Linked DNA regions of Arabidopsis thaliana. The protein of the gene in region 2 interacts with the protein of the main gene of each other region in a biochemical or structural test. Each region holds a gene or a part of one and is shown on either strand. Other genes may lie near its edges. The genes, in order: COP1 and TCP-1.

Evidence for each region.
Region 1: the proteins of TCP-1 (region 2) and COP1 form a complex in vitro, tested with the Arabidopsis thaliana proteins (one study listed by BioGRID).

What each region holds. Positions count from the first base shown.
Region 1 is NC_003071.7:13,975,547-13,984,465, reverse strand, and holds COP1 (Transducin/WD40 repeat-like superfamily protein), read right to left. Parts: upstream 6,586-8,919; 5' UTR 6,467-6,585; coding exon 6,149-6,466; intron 5,810-6,148; coding exon 5,732-5,809; intron 5,598-5,731; coding exon of another isoform or gene 5,594-5,597; coding exon 5,438-5,593; intron 5,181-5,437; coding exon 4,830-5,180; intron 4,260-4,829; coding exon 4,102-4,259; intron 4,008-4,101; coding exon 3,942-4,007; intron 3,415-3,941; coding exon 3,336-3,414; intron 3,046-3,335; coding exon 2,890-3,045; intron 2,794-2,889; coding exon 2,695-2,793; intron 2,089-2,694; coding exon 1,984-2,088; intron 1,842-1,983; coding exon 1,662-1,841; intron 1,577-1,661; coding exon 1,466-1,576; intron 1,355-1,465; coding exon 1,184-1,354; 3' UTR 857-1,183; downstream 1-856. Other genes in the region: AGO6 (Argonaute family protein), read left to right, coding at 7,610-7,792, 7,880-8,085, 8,183-8,401, 8,587-8,720, 8,827-8,919. UniProt on the Arabidopsis thaliana protein: E3 ubiquitin-protein ligase that acts as a repressor of photomorphogenesis and as an activator of etiolation in darkness.
Region 2 is NC_003074.8:6,997,172-7,004,968, forward strand, and holds TCP-1 (T-complex protein 1 alpha subunit), read right to left. Parts: upstream 5,265-7,797; 5' UTR 5,096-5,264; coding exon 5,023-5,095; intron 4,846-5,022; coding exon 4,781-4,845; intron 4,569-4,780; coding exon 4,479-4,568; intron 4,367-4,478; coding exon 4,280-4,366; intron 4,172-4,279; coding exon 4,112-4,171; intron 4,026-4,111; coding exon 3,975-4,025; intron 3,823-3,974; coding exon 3,727-3,822; intron 3,540-3,726; coding exon 3,474-3,539; intron 3,379-3,473; coding exon 3,161-3,378; intron 2,916-3,160; coding exon 2,819-2,915; intron 2,692-2,818; coding exon 2,605-2,691; intron 2,526-2,604; coding exon 2,391-2,525; intron 2,236-2,390; coding exon 2,131-2,235; intron 2,046-2,130; coding exon 1,917-2,045; intron 1,833-1,916; coding exon 1,729-1,832; intron 1,635-1,728; coding exon 1,544-1,634; intron 1,457-1,543; coding exon 1,373-1,456; 3' UTR 988-1,372; downstream 1-987. Other genes in the region: ATHXK4 (Hexokinase), read left to right, coding at 36-163, 352-430, 528-893; UBC19 (ubiquitin-conjugating enzyme19), read right to left, coding at 5,756-5,802, 5,900-5,959, 6,062-6,125, 6,234-6,461, 6,545-6,572, 6,994-7,112; TTN9 (titan9), read right to left, coding at 7,779-7,797.

The DNA.
Region 1 (8,919 bases), on a different chromosome or scaffold from region 2:
TTTTTCTGATTAATTACTACGATAAATTTAAGTTGTTGTTTCGAGTTTATAAGATGTATATTATAAGCAATTATAAATTAAAACGTACAAAAAATTGTAATTTTTTTAAGACTAGTTTAATATAATTTTTTTTGGGAAGAGATGTATTTCGCTAGCAAATAATTTCTAAAAGAAATAGACTAAAAATTGAATCTGAATATACAGAGACTAAGATTTAGACCCGAATTCGCGGTTATTTTTTAAAAAATAGGATAGGTATCGAATTATATGTGTAGAATATCAATTAACAAAAAATGTTGTATGAAAGTAGTTATTTAATAGAAAGAAAACTAGGATTTGATGGCTATGGTTGCTTAAAGGGAAGAAACACATTAGTGTGTCCAATTCGTTGTGAAAAAGTCGTTCTTTCCACTCAAAAGAGATTGTTTACAAAGTCAATGACTTGTAACTTAGGGAATTAGAAAAACCTGTAAATAGCATTCTTTTATTAAGCCACCTAACCTAATTATTATGACTAAGATGACCAAGTGAAGTATGTAACGTTTTTAGGAACGAAAACAAAAGACGAAAACTAAAATGTTTGGCCATGTGATTTAAACTTCACAAAGCATGCATGATTTTATATAGACATCATGCCATCCCTAGTTGCGTATCCAAATTTAAAAGGGTTACTCTTATAGTATTGATACGACCAATTTATGAAAATGTGTCACACAATCACTTTGTTATGAGTTAATTTAGAGGTGTTAAGTAATTGTATATAATTTCACTTATGACACAAATTCGTCAATTCTCATGAATTTTACATTATAAAATGATTTTTTTTTTTCAATGATCTTGCTACATGAACATACTAATGACTTATTGCATGGGTCGGACCTTTTGTATAAGCCAAGGTTTGACTTTTCATGACCGATTCACATCACCGCATTTTGATTCTAACATTTAATTATATAAAGTAGAAGCTAAGAAACCGTAAGACATATCTACATCACTGATACAAATTCTTCTTGAGGAGTGTTCCAAGGCAAGCATAATAATACAAAGTTGCTTTCCAAATGATGAACCCTACTTTTAATAAATTGTTCTCTCTCTATATGTAACTCCCACTAAAGAACATAGACGGCAAATTTGTTTTTATTGATTCACGAAGCTATAAGATCTTTTGTAATGTCTACTAGAATCACGCAGCGAGTACCAGAACTTTGATGGTTCCTTGACTATTCGCAGTCAACATCGTGGGACTATCACTCTTCCAGCAAACCGCACTAATAAAGTAGGAACCTGCCTCTTCCTCTGCATCGTCCATGTCTGGCGATCCAAATCTGTGCGATGTCACGGGTCTCGTGATTTCCTGCATCGCATCATTCACATTTTAAAATACTTGAGCAACGACAGGTTGAAAATCTGTGAATCATGAATGAAAAATGCTAAAGTTGAGAGCAGAGGTTTCGGATTTGTGAACCTTGTGATATACATATACTTCGTTTGTCTCGCTTCCACAGGCGAGATACTCGCTGTTCACTGTGAGACCCACAAAGTTCTTCTCGTTAGTATGTCCTCTGAATGTTCGAACCTGAAAAGTAAAATTGAACAACATAGTCAAGACAAGTTTTTCTTTTTGACTGAATCTGCAAGATTGGCTCGGGCAGTAATCTAACTGGCAAGTTGTCTTTGACATCCCATAAGCGTAGTGTGCTATCTGTGGACGCAGAAGCGAGCTCGTTGTTGGACAAAAATTTAACATAGGAAACTGCTTTCTTGTGTCCACTGAAGACATGAAGTGGTTGGCTTATGTTTCTTAGATCGTAATAATGGATGTGATGATCAGCTGATCCGACCTGTGATAAGTCAACAGGCTTAAACGTCTAAGTCTCTCTATCTAATTAAAGATTATATCTAGAGACGTGTGATAGTGTCATGCTGATCATGAGTGGTAGCGAATAAATGTGAGATGCAAAGTTGAGGCGTGGAAGTATATACCGCAATGTAGTTGCTTGAGCCAGGATTGTACTTGACACAACATATGTTTGCTTTCATATCAATATTAATCACACTTGCTTCCTGCCTCGTGCACCAAACTTTAACCTGGATCAAACACACAGCACAATTGGTTAATCTATGAGACATGATTTAACAGATGCAATAATGCATGGTTGAGGATTAACTAGTAGTGAATTGACTTAAAAGGAGCCCACTGGTATAATATGCTTTTGTCAGAATTAGAAATCCAGTGAATTTTTCAATAACGTTTAATTAAATTTGGACAAATGAAGCTACAAAATTTCAAGGTAAAATCTACTATATACAAGTGTCCAGTTTCGTTTGTTTCCTAATGTATAGCCACCACAGATACACTAAGGGGAAAATTTTGCTGAAAATTTAAGAAACCAACAAACATTCAATGTAGGAAGGGCTACATATGACCAATCCCCAAGTTGGGAAGAACAACTCAAAGAAAAGTTTAAGAAGTAGTAGAAAAGATTCATGAGAACACAATGTACTAATGAGCAAGTAGGAGATTCTCCAGTTTTGTTTCACAATATGTCTCTTTAGTTCGTCGTAGAAATTAGACAAATCCGTGACCAAGTTAGTTATAAGAGCTAGGAGATATCTAAAAGTAGTATTCTTTTTATATGAGACATAGCCCAATGTGAGATGAAAGGTGATAACGGAAAATATGGAGATATTTACCTTGCAGTCGTCACTACCAGATACAAGCATTGATGGTTCTGTTCGTGAAAAGTCAACACTCCAGGCACGTTTTTCGTGCTCTTCATACTCCATAAGACTCTGCCTCAGTTTACATAAAAATTCAAATACGCTGCAGAATTCATGAGATGAATATCTTATAGGTGCGATGTTAGATACTTTGGGTAAAGTACTCACCTGCCTAGTAGTTACATCCCACACTGTTACTATTCCTTCATAATCACTGCTTGCTATGTGATTTTTTTCATGCTTATTCCAACTCAAGCAACTAAGTTTAGACCGAGTTGACATCTCCACAATCGGACACTGCATATCTGCTGGTTCATTTACAACCTGAAAAGTAGCAGCCGATAATCAATCAGTTCAGCGTGGTCCATTGGATAAAACAGAAAATTAAAACCAAAAATTTGATTAGCTTTGATTTATATTCTTCTACGCAATACAAAAGTGTAAAATGGCTATCTTGCATCAAAGCTAGAATTTCCCAAGAGCATAACTTAGTTTCATTATCAACGAAGCTTTCTTAGAATTGAGATGCATGATCAGTTTCACAAAAGCATAAGGTTGGACAAGAAGATTCAATTGGTATGTAATTGAATGCACTCCAAGATTTATGAACGTACCGAAGAGAAGTCAAAAACCTTTATACATCTAGAAACACCAGCAGTGGCAAACAGCTCATCATCACGATCAAACTCTATGCTGAAAAGGAACAGCACCCTCTTCATCAGCAAAATCAGTAAGATGGTACATCAAATTACAGGTAAACTAGAGGTCCAGGCAAAGCATAAAGCATGTAAACTATGGAAGACCATAAACCAAAGCACATAGAGAGAAAAAGATATGAGCCCCGGAGCTCCCAGACCATAAACTAAAAATATATATCTTTCGTCTCTTCATTGAGAAGAGACACTTTCATATAAAAGATCGCAAACCGATTCTATATATTCCGACATGGATAAGGATAACATAGTGTTCCATCTTTTAGAAAATTCTCCTCAAGTGGCCTGCTGACTACACAACCTTCTCCCTACCATGTCAGCAGTTTTATCTTCATACTATTCACTGGCTTAGAATTACACAGCAACGAATCCCATAGTAATAATTGCGTCTATCAATACATTAAACAAAACTTAATCACTTAAGGGTCTATTTTGATATATTCGGAGACATTCTTTTGGTACCTATCATCTGTTATCTGATCAACGAACAAGGAATAGAAAATTCACCTTGATACAATGTTGGCTGAATGAAATATATCCCCATGCCGGATTTCTGCTATAACTCTTAGACGACTGTGAATAAAGAGTGCAATTAAAACCCCAACTAATTCGAAAACACTCTTTATGTACGGCTAGACCGATTGAAAAGGGATAGTCACTCCTCTACCTGTAGCGAGTGAAGGTAGTCAACACAGATTGAAAATCTGCAAGGCCGTTGCTATAGCCTTCCCTCCGTACTACACTCTTATCATTTTCTTGTTTACTATTTGGTTGGTCTGCCAACTGACGCCGCTTTTGGAGGTAACATTCTTGTAAATCATTGAACTACAAGACAAGACACTTTAACAGAATTAGGCAATCTGTGCATATATCAACAAGCAGTTACAGAGAGATTAAAGGACCATGCAGGTTTTTTCAAGAAAACTACTATAATTGTGATTGCATAGTATTCACAGAACTGTTAGTGTGTCTAGAGAACATAGTGACTTTTTGTTGCTATAGTACCAGAGAGACAAGAAGCGGCTACTATCACTAAGCAGTAGATATAAAGTCCAGAAAGCTATTTCTACTTTTACGTGCAAACAATACGAAATCAATCTCTCTGAAGTCCAATCGGCTTTTTATAAAGACCACCAAAAATGTGGGCCTTAATCTAAGGTATCTTTTCCGTAAGAAGATTCATCCTCTACCCACAACCACTTTCAATTTCTCGAGCTGTCAATCCAGATGACCAAGAGCTGAGTAGCTAGGCATGGTAGTAACTGTAACACAATCACTGGGGCCTAATTGTAGTAATTATTCTTATTCTTTAATAGACAAATATCTTAAACTTTAATGCCATTGTCCTTTTACCATTTCAGCATAAAGATGTTGAGTAGACAAGGAGGAACAAACCTGAGCATGAATCCGTTTCTTTCTAGCCATTGAGACAGTTGACTGATTCAAACTTTGCGAATCTGACCCACTCAGCGCATCCTTCTTTGGTAGCCCATGAGAGCTTCCTTGTGCCTTCCCCTCTACCTTTTTGTTTTGATAATTGCCTACAAAATTTCCTCCTCTTATGCTGAGAGAATTGGAGTTGAAACCAATCTGGTTCTTCTCATGTGGCCATGCATTTCTTGTGCTTGGATCATCTCCGAGCATCCGCAACTTTACAGAATATCTGTCCCTAGCTCGGTATAAATCTATTCTATGTCTCTCAACGGCATTTATATCTTCTTTAATATACTGGAGATCAGTTTGCACCTACATTAAGATAGAGAAGACATAAATGACAGAATTCTATAATATTCTGAGATCTCATCTAACATTCAGGGGTTATACGTCTCATGAATAGTTGGATAGATCATACATCTATTGATAGAAACATGGTTTATGGCTTTCTTTTACAACAACTATACAGTCTAAACCCAGTGAAGATTTTGAAGCAAATGGAATGAAGAGCAACGAGAATAATTATCAATAGGTAGCCCAATGCTACTCCATAATTCAGACAAACCAACCTCATTTAGTTCATCAACTTTTTGCTTCCTTAGACAATGCAAAAAGTCCAAAAGTATCTGCATGTTCCTCTCAGCTTCTTCCTGTTCCATTTTTCTCTTCCTTTCCGCAAGAAGTGTCAGAAGATTATCAACCTCCTTAATTGACACATCACAACCCTGTCTAAGTATGAACGCAGGAAGTCAATATTTGATCAAAAGAAATGACTTAGAATTGCTTTTTACTCCAATAATAATTCTGAGAAAGCAAACTTAAAGAGGAAAAAATGAAACATAAAAAGCTTGTTAAGAACCGACCCTTTGTAGTGCTTCCCGAAACTGATCCAAGGGCGATGCAGTTTTTGACACATGCCGAGCTGAAGTTTTCTTCAATAGCTACACAATTGATACATAAACGTCATATAATAAGCTGCATTCCAGTGATAAATAGTTTCAATACACTATCATTCCTATAAACATGCTTCTATTTAGCTGTAATAAGCAGAATCCTACCACAATACTACACATCAAAAACAAAACAAAACCTTCCTAAGAAAATCTAATGGCAAGGTTCATTGGAATCGATTAAAGACTAAGCTAGCTTACTTGTTTCCACAAAAACCACGACAAAAACCAAACTTGATTACAAGCTAAGACTCAAACAAGCAACACCCGAACTTGAACTGAAAAGCTAAGGACCAAACACAAATTACGAGTAAAATTAGAAAAAGAAACCTTATCGAGCAAGAAATTAGGGTAAAGCTGATTATTGGTGAGGTGTTGGCTACAACAGGGACAATCACTCTTGTTCCTAAGATGTGTGATGATACACATATAGCAGAAACTATGACCACAAGCCGTGAGGAAAGCATCTTTAATAATCTGCATACAAATCGGACAAAGCAAGTCTTTATCCAGATCCGGTGCTCCAATCTCAGAACCGCCGCTTCCTCCGTCGTCATTTTCATGACGATTAGCACCTTCACCAACTGAAGATGTTCTCGGGTCAGGTTTCACCGCTGGAACAACCGGATCCGTCGAAATCTCTTCCATTTTGCTTTCAAAAGATTTCTTCGATTGTGATTTTGGTTTTTGAGAAAATCGGAATTGTGAGAAAAGAGTGGTTTGGGTATGACGTCGGAGATGAAGGAGGAGTGAGGCTGAGGTGTGGTGGGATCCACCGTGGTTCTTTTCTGAGGTGACAAATCCTACACGTTCTGGTCTACGCGCTTCTTTTCGCGCGTGTGTCTGGCGTTTCTCCAAGCGCTGGTACGGTTTAATTATCCGGCTTCTAATTTATAGTCCGGTTCAATGAAATTTCTTACAATTACCACGACGGTCTAATTTAATTTCTTACAACCATTCATTTTATTTCTTACTATTTGAAATGAATAAGTTGGGAATTTCAATCCATTCAACCGGAGCATAACCCTAGAAATAGAATAAGTTTTGAAGGATTCGGTTTAATAATTTTGGAATAAACCATTTTTATTTCAGTTCTTAAATTTTGTTACTGTAAAAAATGACTGAAAAGTGAAATATATTTTAATTTTCCCATCACTGGAAACGTTCCCTCCATTCTTTTGCTTGTCTGGGAAACCCAAAGAGACTGTGACGGAGAAGAGAAATGAGCTAAATAAATTCCTCTCTTTGATTCACCGGAACCCTAGAAATCCTCTTCTTAATTCTTTCAAAGGTGCGCTGTTTTCACTAGATATCGCTGTTGTAATTGTTGTTGATTCGGAGCTAGGTTTTGTTTTTGTCTCTCTTTCGGAGAATTTGCATGAAGCTAGGATTTGTCTGTTGATAGTTGTATGGTTTTGGCTGCGTTGTTTCTCTCTTGAAAGTCTTGTTATGCTACTGTATGACACACTCGAATGAGTTTTTGTTTGTGTAATGTTTCTCAATTTTGAAGGCGACCAACAGTTAAAGGTGCCATTTTTTTTCCAGATTAAGTTTGTTCCTCATCTGAAATTTATACCATTTCTCGCGATTTAGCAGGATATGCCCAGAAATTAAAATCTTAGAACGACAATGGTGGTAAAGTTTTTAGCTTTTTACCTTTTGGAGTTGTCTTCTTAATTTGGTGTTTTTCTTTTCTTTCTTAGTCTCCTGAGCATTGTGTTTTGGACTGGTTTTTGCACACTGTAACCAACCTCCACTTTTCTCTCTTGCAGATTATTTTCCCCTGGAAGGATGGAGACATCTTCATCTCTGCCACTGTCACCCATAAGTATAGAACCAGAACAGCCCAGCCATCGAGATTATGACATCACAACTAGACGTGGGGTTGGAACCACAGGCAACCCAATAGAATTGTGCACCAATCACTTTAATGTTTCTGTGAGACAGCCGGATGTAGTATTTTACCAGTACACTGTAAGATTCATTAGTCACTTTTCTGCATTCTTTCATCAGTGTCTGTGCGTGTGTGAGATGTTTGACATATCGGTACCTTTTTTGCAGGTTAGTATCACCACAGAAAACGGTGATGCTGTTGATGGGACAGGAATAAGCAGAAAGCTTATGGACCAACTATTCAAGACTTACTCTTCTGATCTTGATGGTAAAAGGTTGGCATATGATGGAGAGAAGACTTTATATACTGTTGGTCCTCTACCACAGAACGAATTTGACTTTCTAGTCATCGTGGAAGGGTCATTTTCAAAACGGTATGTCCCTCTTATCTGGATTGATATTTAATCGTTTCAAGGTGTCAAGATAGATCTTGTTGATCTTCTAACTAACGCAGTCTTGTTAAGTTTATAGTGATTGTGGTGTCTCTGATGGTGGTAGTTCTTCCGGTACTTGCAAGCGATCAAAACGTTCTTTCTTGCCAAGAAGTTACAAGGTTCAGATACATTATGCTGCAGAAATACCGTTGAAGACTGTTCTTGGCACTCAGAGAGGAGCTTATACACCAGATAAGAGTGCTCAGGATGCACTTAGAGTGCTTGACATTGTACTGAGGCAGCAAGCAGCTGAAAGGTAAATCTTTCTATCTGTTTGCTTTTGTGCAGTTTATATTTTTATTAAAATAGATACTCTACGTTCTAATGGACCAATTTTTATTATCATATTTTCACTTTGTTGGTGAAATTTAATCAATGTACAACTATTTGCATTTTGTGACCATGCTCGATGCTTACTATAGAAAACTGTTGATAATGCAGGGGATGCCTTTTGGTCAGACAGGCATTTTTCCATAGCGATGGGCACCCCATGAAAGTTGGAGGAGGTGTTATAGGTATTCGAGGTTTACATTCGAGCTTTCGTCCAACTCATGGAGGACTCTCGCTTAACATTGGTATTTTTCAGTATACCTTTCTCATCTCCAGCTTTCATAAACTTGTCTTAATTGTGGATAGTTTTATTAATAAGCAAAACTGTTTTCGTTTTGTGATGGTTTGCAGATGTGTCAACAACAATGATCTTAGAACCTGGTCCAGTTATTGAATTCCTGAAAGCCAATCAGAGTGTTGAGACACCACGGCAAATCGACTGGA
Region 2 (7,797 bases):
ATCAGGTAATCAATTTGGTGGGTATTGTTTTATAGGGCTTTGAGAAGATGATAGGAGGGATGTATCTGGGCGACATTGTCCGCAGAGTAATTCTTCGAATGTCACAAGAGTCCGACATCTTTGGACCTATCTCATCCATTTTATCCACGCCTTTCGTTCTGAGGTACATTTCCGTTATGTTTTCTTCTGCTTCTGTTTCAAATGGAAAAAAAAACTGCCAAACGTATACTTCGTTTCCTATATAAACTTTTGCGAATTCTCAAAAAGCACATAGTAGCTTTTACGTAACATGATTTTCGTGTTTATCTATACGTATATATTTGTCTGAATAAATTTTTCCTCCAATTTCAGAACAAATTCTGTCTCAGCAATGCATGAAGATGACACATCCGAGTTACAAGAAGTAGCACGAATCTTGAAAGATTTAGGGGTAAGCAAACAAGTTTGTTGTGATGCAAAGTTTTGTTCTGTTCACTTGGCTCATTATCTTGGCTCTCTCTCTCTCTATCTTTGATTCATAATCACAGGTGTCAGAGGTACCAATGAAGGTGAGGAAACTTGTAGTGAAGATCTGCGATGTAGTGACACGCAGAGCAGCTAGGCTAGCAGCAGCAGGAATTGCAGGAATCTTGAAGAAGGTAGGGAGAGATGGGAGCGGAGGAGGAAGGAGAAGCGATAAGCAGATAATGAGAAGAACAGTGGTGGCAGTTGAAGGAGGTCTGTATTTGAACTACAGGATGTTCAGAGAATATATGGACGAAGCTCTGAGAGATATACTGGGAGAAGATGTGGCTCAACACGTAGTGGTGAAGGCCATGGAAGATGGTTCCAGCATTGGCTCTGCATTGTTGCTGGCTTCGTCACAAAGTGTTCAAACAATACCATCCGTATGAATAATTTGTGTACATATTTACAATGTATATAGCCAATTGTTTTAGAAGCATGTAGGTTTGTGTAAATATTGTAGGCACTTTTTAGTTTCTTCTACTCATGATTAAGTAAATTACAGTTTATTTACAACAACAAAAAATGACTTGTTAGTGCAACGGAATTAATACAGAACAGTGAAACCTAATCTTTTGGGGATAAATCTTTGTGTCATTGTGTGAGAGAGGACATTCAAAAACTACACCATAAATTCAAACAGTAAGAGACGAAAGCCCAACTTCATTACATGCGTTACCCGACAAAAAGCAAAAATTTCTTGAAGTAAAAAGTGAGCAAGAAACGAGAGAGTTGAAAAATAAACAGAAACAGCTCTTTCAGAGGCTACATTGTTACAGCGCAAAAAAGAAGCTAAAGAGGAGCTGAAAATGCGGACAAAAACACACACTAAGGATGATAAGGCGGATAAAGAGGAGCTGAGCTTTGCTTATTCTTCGCCTTGGCTCTCATCCTTCACCAGTTTGATCATGTCGTCAATTCGTAGAATCGTTATGGCTGCCTCTGTTGCAAACTGGTCACAAAACAAAGCTCCTTTAAAATTTAAGAGATTACTTGATTTTTTAATATTCTAGTTCATGTAAAGCCAAGTGCCTTTTACCTGGATAATTTTCACTTTGCTCATAGCTGGTTCGATCACTCCAGCTTCCAAATTGTTGCGGATGGTTCCGTTTACGAGGTCAAGTCCCATGCTGCATTTACGTTTTCTCAACATGAAGCCAATGAGCATATAACATTTTCAAACAGAACCTCAAAGGGAAAAGACACAAACAGATTGCTTATCACCTTGAATAGTGCTTCTTATCAGCCTTGGTTTGTGCAGTGTGGTGGTACGCTCTTAGTTTAGCTACCAATTCGGTTGCATCCTTAGCAGCGTTTACTGCAAGCACCTGATAACAGGATGATAAACGTTGGATTATAAGATAAGAACAAAAGACAGATTTTTATTGATGAAATAGGTTTGTAGGTCGCACCTTTGGTATAATCAATAGCGCATCAGCAAATTCAGCGATGGCCAATTGTTCGCGAGAGCCCAAGGTTGTAGCAAGGTGCTCCAGATACACAGACAATGCTGATTCAACTGCACCTCCACCCGCAACCACCTGTTTGACAAGGAAACAAGAAATGTAATGTTTGTTCTTTGCTAAATGCAAGGAGTATGTCTAACAGAAAGTAAAGGAATGTTACCGTGTTGGACTCAAGGGTCCTCTTGACAATACATAAAGCGTCATGCAGTGCTCTCTCCATCTCATCAAGCATGTAGTCATTTGCACCTCTTAAGATCAACGAGACCTAACAGGAAAAAAACACTTATAAACATGAAAAACCTAGACAAAACTCTGTGTGATATGTTAAACAACTTTAAAAGAAATATACTTAAGATTGATTTTGTGTGATATAGTACTGTCAGCAATCAAGTAAGATTCATTGCTGAGAGAATGGCATACCGCACTACTTGTTTTGGTTCCCTTTATCAATATAACATCATCATCTGCGATTCTCTCTTCAACAACCTCATCAGCAGATCCAAGGTGAGCTGGATCAAATGTTTCTTCGCCCTCCATGTCAGCAAAAGTGGTGACCTAAAATAAAGGATAAATATATTAGTTGAAATTTTAGTTTGACAACATGGGTATTGAAAAAGCCTAGCGCAGGAAGTACCAGAGTCGCTCCTGTCGCCTTGGCAACATGACGCATGTCTTCTTTGCGCACACGCCTAACAGCAATAGCTCCTGCCTCTACAAAGTACTGAAATAAAAACAAGAGAAATGAGAATCCATTACGGTGAACCAAACATAAACGCAACTAAACTTGAATACTTCAAAAACTAAGTTATGTGTAAACGATAGAGAAAATCATTGGTTTTCATTCTCACTTTAAGTGCCATGTCGTCAATCCCCTTTGTGGTCAGAATTACATTGGCCCCAGCTTTGAGAAGTTTCTCTATCCGCTCTTTTGTCATGTCAGCTTCTCTGTGGAAACAAATATTCAGCAACATATTAAAAAACTCTGTATGGAACACAGATAACATGAGCTACAAGTGTACAGTAAAGCAAATTTATTAAGCTTTCCATATCGCATACACCCGGAAATTGGAGAATGCAAATACTTCTTCACCCAAGGATCAAGAGAACAAACCGAATGACATTTGGTAGGAAAAAAGCAAGCACTCTGAATGTAAGGAATTCAGGGAAAAGTGTATAACTGCGAAAACTACCTTTGACGGATCTTTTCAAGTTCTCGTGGGTCATTAACAACAACTTGGACACCCAGCTGCATTTTTGTCTTCTGCAGATTGAAGTCAAGGCAAGCAATCTTTGCTGGGGACACTCGTAATGGCATCCCTTGGGCAGCACGACCAGTATTGAGTGCATATCCATTTAACAAATAGCTGTCTCTTGCACTTTGTCCATGAGCTTTCAGAATATTAATGCCCTACAATGCGGTAAGAATAAGCGTTTAAGCATAAAAATATCATCCTCACTACAGATCTTTATGTTTGAAACTTTGACAGAGAAGCATTAACAGACCTTGATAGGGTATTTTATCTCTCCCCGCTGATTTGTCATCTTTACTGAAAGAACGGCTTCCACAACCTTTAAAAGAAATGTGATTATAACAGTTCAGCCACATGCAATGACTAGGGTATTATTGCAAGATAAACCAGATTTAAGTAGAAAAGAGTCCCCCAAGAAAAAACCAAGAATAAACATAGGTTTTAATAACACTAATGTTTTAATGAATTTCCACGTTATTGCTTAGTAAGGAGAACTGGAAGCGTACCAAATTGGCAAAGAAGTCGCTGTCACCAGATATCAGTTTGGAGGACATGCTGGTTTTGGCACAGTTTATCAATGGAACTTTCCCAAGCTTTTCGACCTATAAAACGCAAAAAAAAAAGTAATTAACTAAAGGGGAAGAGACAGACAGTACAGTGAGCTTTCCCAATTATACTGACACAAAAAAATTGTATGAAGAGAGGAAAATTTCCTCTAAGAGGCAAGACTATAGACCATCACACGAGGACTAACCTTGGTCACCAACTTCTCTTCTATGTATTTGCAAGATTCTCTCATTGCTAGCTGTCAACAGTAAAAAAGATAATGAACACACTGGAAACACTTCTGCAGTGCAGGTTACAACATATGAAATTAAAGTCGCAGCTTACCCTATATCCACTGATAATTGATGTTGGATGTATTTTGTTCCTGACCAAATCATTTGCCCTCTGCAAATATATACATAAGACCCATTAATCATCAAGCAATAGTTACCATGTGAAAAATCTCCCAACTCTAGGAAAACCAAAACCAAAGAAAACAGTAATCAAACTAACCTTCAACAACTCAGCAGCTACAATAACAACAGATGTAGTCCCATCACCGACTTCTCTATCTTGAAGTTCAGCTAACTCGACAAGAACCTGTCACAACAAAAGTAGACAGATTAGAGAACTGAGTAACTAATAATTCATAACCAGTGTTTTGAAATGATGATAAGAAAATACGTATAACAATCACATTTGCATAAATTACCTTAGCAGCAGGGTGCTCGACCTCCAACATCCTAAGAATAGTAGCACCATCATTTGTAATAGTCACATCACCAATATCATCCACCAACATCTGAAACACAAGCCAACATAACATGAAACACGATTGGAGGAACTAGGAACGAAAATACAAAGGACAATATCGAGCAGATTTAGAATAAAACTAGAAATGGTTAGGTCTAAAAGTAACCTAAAACTAAACACAACTGTTGCCAAGATGCATCTAAGATATAAAAAAGAAAGCTAGCAGAATATATATACACAGATGCAAATCAGAAACCAAACCTTGTCGAGGCCGACGGGACCAAGTGAGGTCTTAACAATATTAGAAACAGCTTGACAAGCCATCACTGCAAATAGAGTATATAAAATACGAGTCAATAACCACAAAACATCTAAAAGAATAGATTCAAAACAAACCCTAGCTAGAGATCGAAACAAATTTGCGATGAAAACAAAGTGAACAGTTTAGTAATGAGAAGAGATAGGAAATAGACGTAAGAGGAAGCGATGGAGAGTAGTAGTACCGTTCTGAGTACGAACATCTTGGCCGGATTGTCTATCGCCGGAAATATCCGGATTTTGGGCGGAGATCGACATTATTCAGTTGTTATATGAACAGAAGAGGAGAAGCGAAAGGCTCTAGATCGGAGATCTGAGCTCTCGAGATAAAGTGCAGTGAGAGATTTTTCGCCTTTTATTGAATTGAAGCGAAAATGCTTCTCAAAAGTTTGTGAGAGTGAGAGACTCCGGCGGGTTTTTAACTTTCAAGGTTTCTGGGATGTACGGCCAGGGTATGAATGAAGCGGCGACGTTTTTATATTGGGCCGAAATAATATATACCCTCAAAGCCCATTTGTAATAAAGAGTTAAGCACGAATTATGGGCTTGGGGATTTAAAAAGAAGGCCATAAATGTCAATTTCAAAACATTTCATTAGTCTTCAGTACTTTGTCCGGTGCCAACGTTTCACATGTTTGAGTCTTACTTCTCTCGTGGGGAACTTTGGTTTCTGGATTTTTCAATAGTTCAGAAACTTTTTTTTGTATTATACTTTCAGATACTTACTACAACATTTCAGAGTTACTATTATGAACTTCTCAAATCTCAGTTACGGAAGAGATATAGGTGGTGATTGTGGAACTGTAATAAAGGTAGAGTTTGATTGCTAATATTGGCTCAAATTGAGATTATAAAAGTAAAAGAGATATGATCCAATACAGTTGAGATTTTAAAATCAGTTACAGTGATTTTTGAGAATCATGCGTTTAAAGGCTTGTAGAGCTTCTCAACCATCTTCCTGTACTCTGTATAACATTACAAGTTCAAGAAGACGAATATCATTATGAATCGAAAAATGGAGACGTCCAGAGATGTGTAATCTGATAACTATTGCAATTTTACCTTCTTGATTGCTCCAAAGCTGAGCCGCTTGATTGTTCAATGGTGAGCTGATGTTCGGTTCTGATCAATTAAAACAAAACAGGAAAAATCAGATACTGGATCAAACCAACAGAGAAATTCTTCATAAGTAACCTCAACAGTTATATCAGCCATAGAGTTTACCTCCGAGAAGGCTTTGAATTGAGAGTAATATCGTCCTCACATCATAAGCAGATGACCATTTATCCTACAAAAGATGTGAAAACAGATTCTGTTTTAAGTACTGCTTCTCTGATATGTGATTCCATGGGATTTACAGTAACACAAGTAGAAAGAGCAAGTGATTGTTATGTACCTGAAGAATGTCCAAGCAAATATTGCCATAGAGATCCACATTGGGGTGGAAGCAGCATGTCTCAAACTTAACTTTGGGAGACTTAAAAGGATAATCGTTAGAGAAAGTGAGTGAGAGTCTGTACTCAGTTCCTTCGAACACAGTATCTTTGCTTCCTGTAATTGTTCCTTTCCAGCAAAATATGTTGTCTTCCTCTGGAAACGCAGATATCCCCGGATCAGCTCCCATCTGCAATACATAAACCCAAAGGCCTCTATATAAGCATCCAACCATATCAACAGGTTCAGTTATGCAGAGAAAAGATAGCTTACCATCAATCCCATTAGTTCAGATTGCAGCCTGCAATTAAGGAAAAACAATGAATTAGCAAAACCATGAATTTGTTTGCTTTGATCAAGAAAGGGTACATAAAAGAAAGTACTTGAGATCTGTAGTACATACAAAGTTTGATGTATCATTCTCTTAGAGACATTATAACAAACAGTTGGTAGACAAAGAGAGAACCCATCATTTCAGAAGAGAACAAGAGAAGTCACAATCAGTTTTGGATCCATCGTTTTCTCTAAAAATGATCTAGAAAGCATGTAGACCACAAGAAATGGATATGGGTAGAGCCAAAACCTAATCTAATCTACCTAAAGAAACATGAACAACTCTATAAACAATCGCAGCGATTCTAATCATTAAGAGGCTAAAGACTAATTCCTTTAAATGGACGCGAGAATATTCCAAGATCGGAAAAATGTAAAAAAGAAATAACCTTTTTAGAACGGAGTGGCTATCGACGGTCTTAGTCGGAGGAGCAGATTGCTTTGATCCGGTGGCTGCCGGTGTAGTCGCCGCCGGAGTATTCCCTGTGTACCCATTAACCGTCGCCATCCTTTTTCGCCTCTTCTAATTGAACAAAGCAACAATCGTAGTCGAAATTTCTGAAATTGAAACGCTTTTTTCTCGAGAAGAATCAGATTCAAGAATGATCGAAACTGAAGAAGAAGGAGAAGAGAGATAGAGATAGAGATAGAGAGAGAGTTCTTCTTCTCTTCTTTGAGAGAGAGAGACGTGGGTCTGGGTTATAAAACGTGTACGACACAAGAAACGTCGTCGTTTTCAAAAGCAATAAAAAGGAATTATCCTAAAGCATTTTCCGAACGTTATCACTTAGGTTATAGCGGCTATTTTGATGCATTTGAATTGAAAATTCACCTACCTTATGTAACGGCTATTTAATCTTTCCAATGATAAAATTTGTTACAAAAATATGTAAAATGTTGAATCATGTAAAATGCTCAATAGATCAGAGATTTATGAGGTCTACAAGAGGAGAGGGTATCGAGAGCAAAGGATAAATCAAGATCTTGTTACAATATGATTCATCACAAGGACACACTATCTTTGAAACTAATTCCAAAGTTAAAGAGAGACACATTTCTATAGATACAATGATAACTTCCCTAGCTTTTCAAACCTATTGAGAAACATCACACTAAGAAGCCATCAGAGATGACTACACAAGATAAGGGGAGGGAGATGTACATACGGTACCGATCAACAATTGAGCTTAATG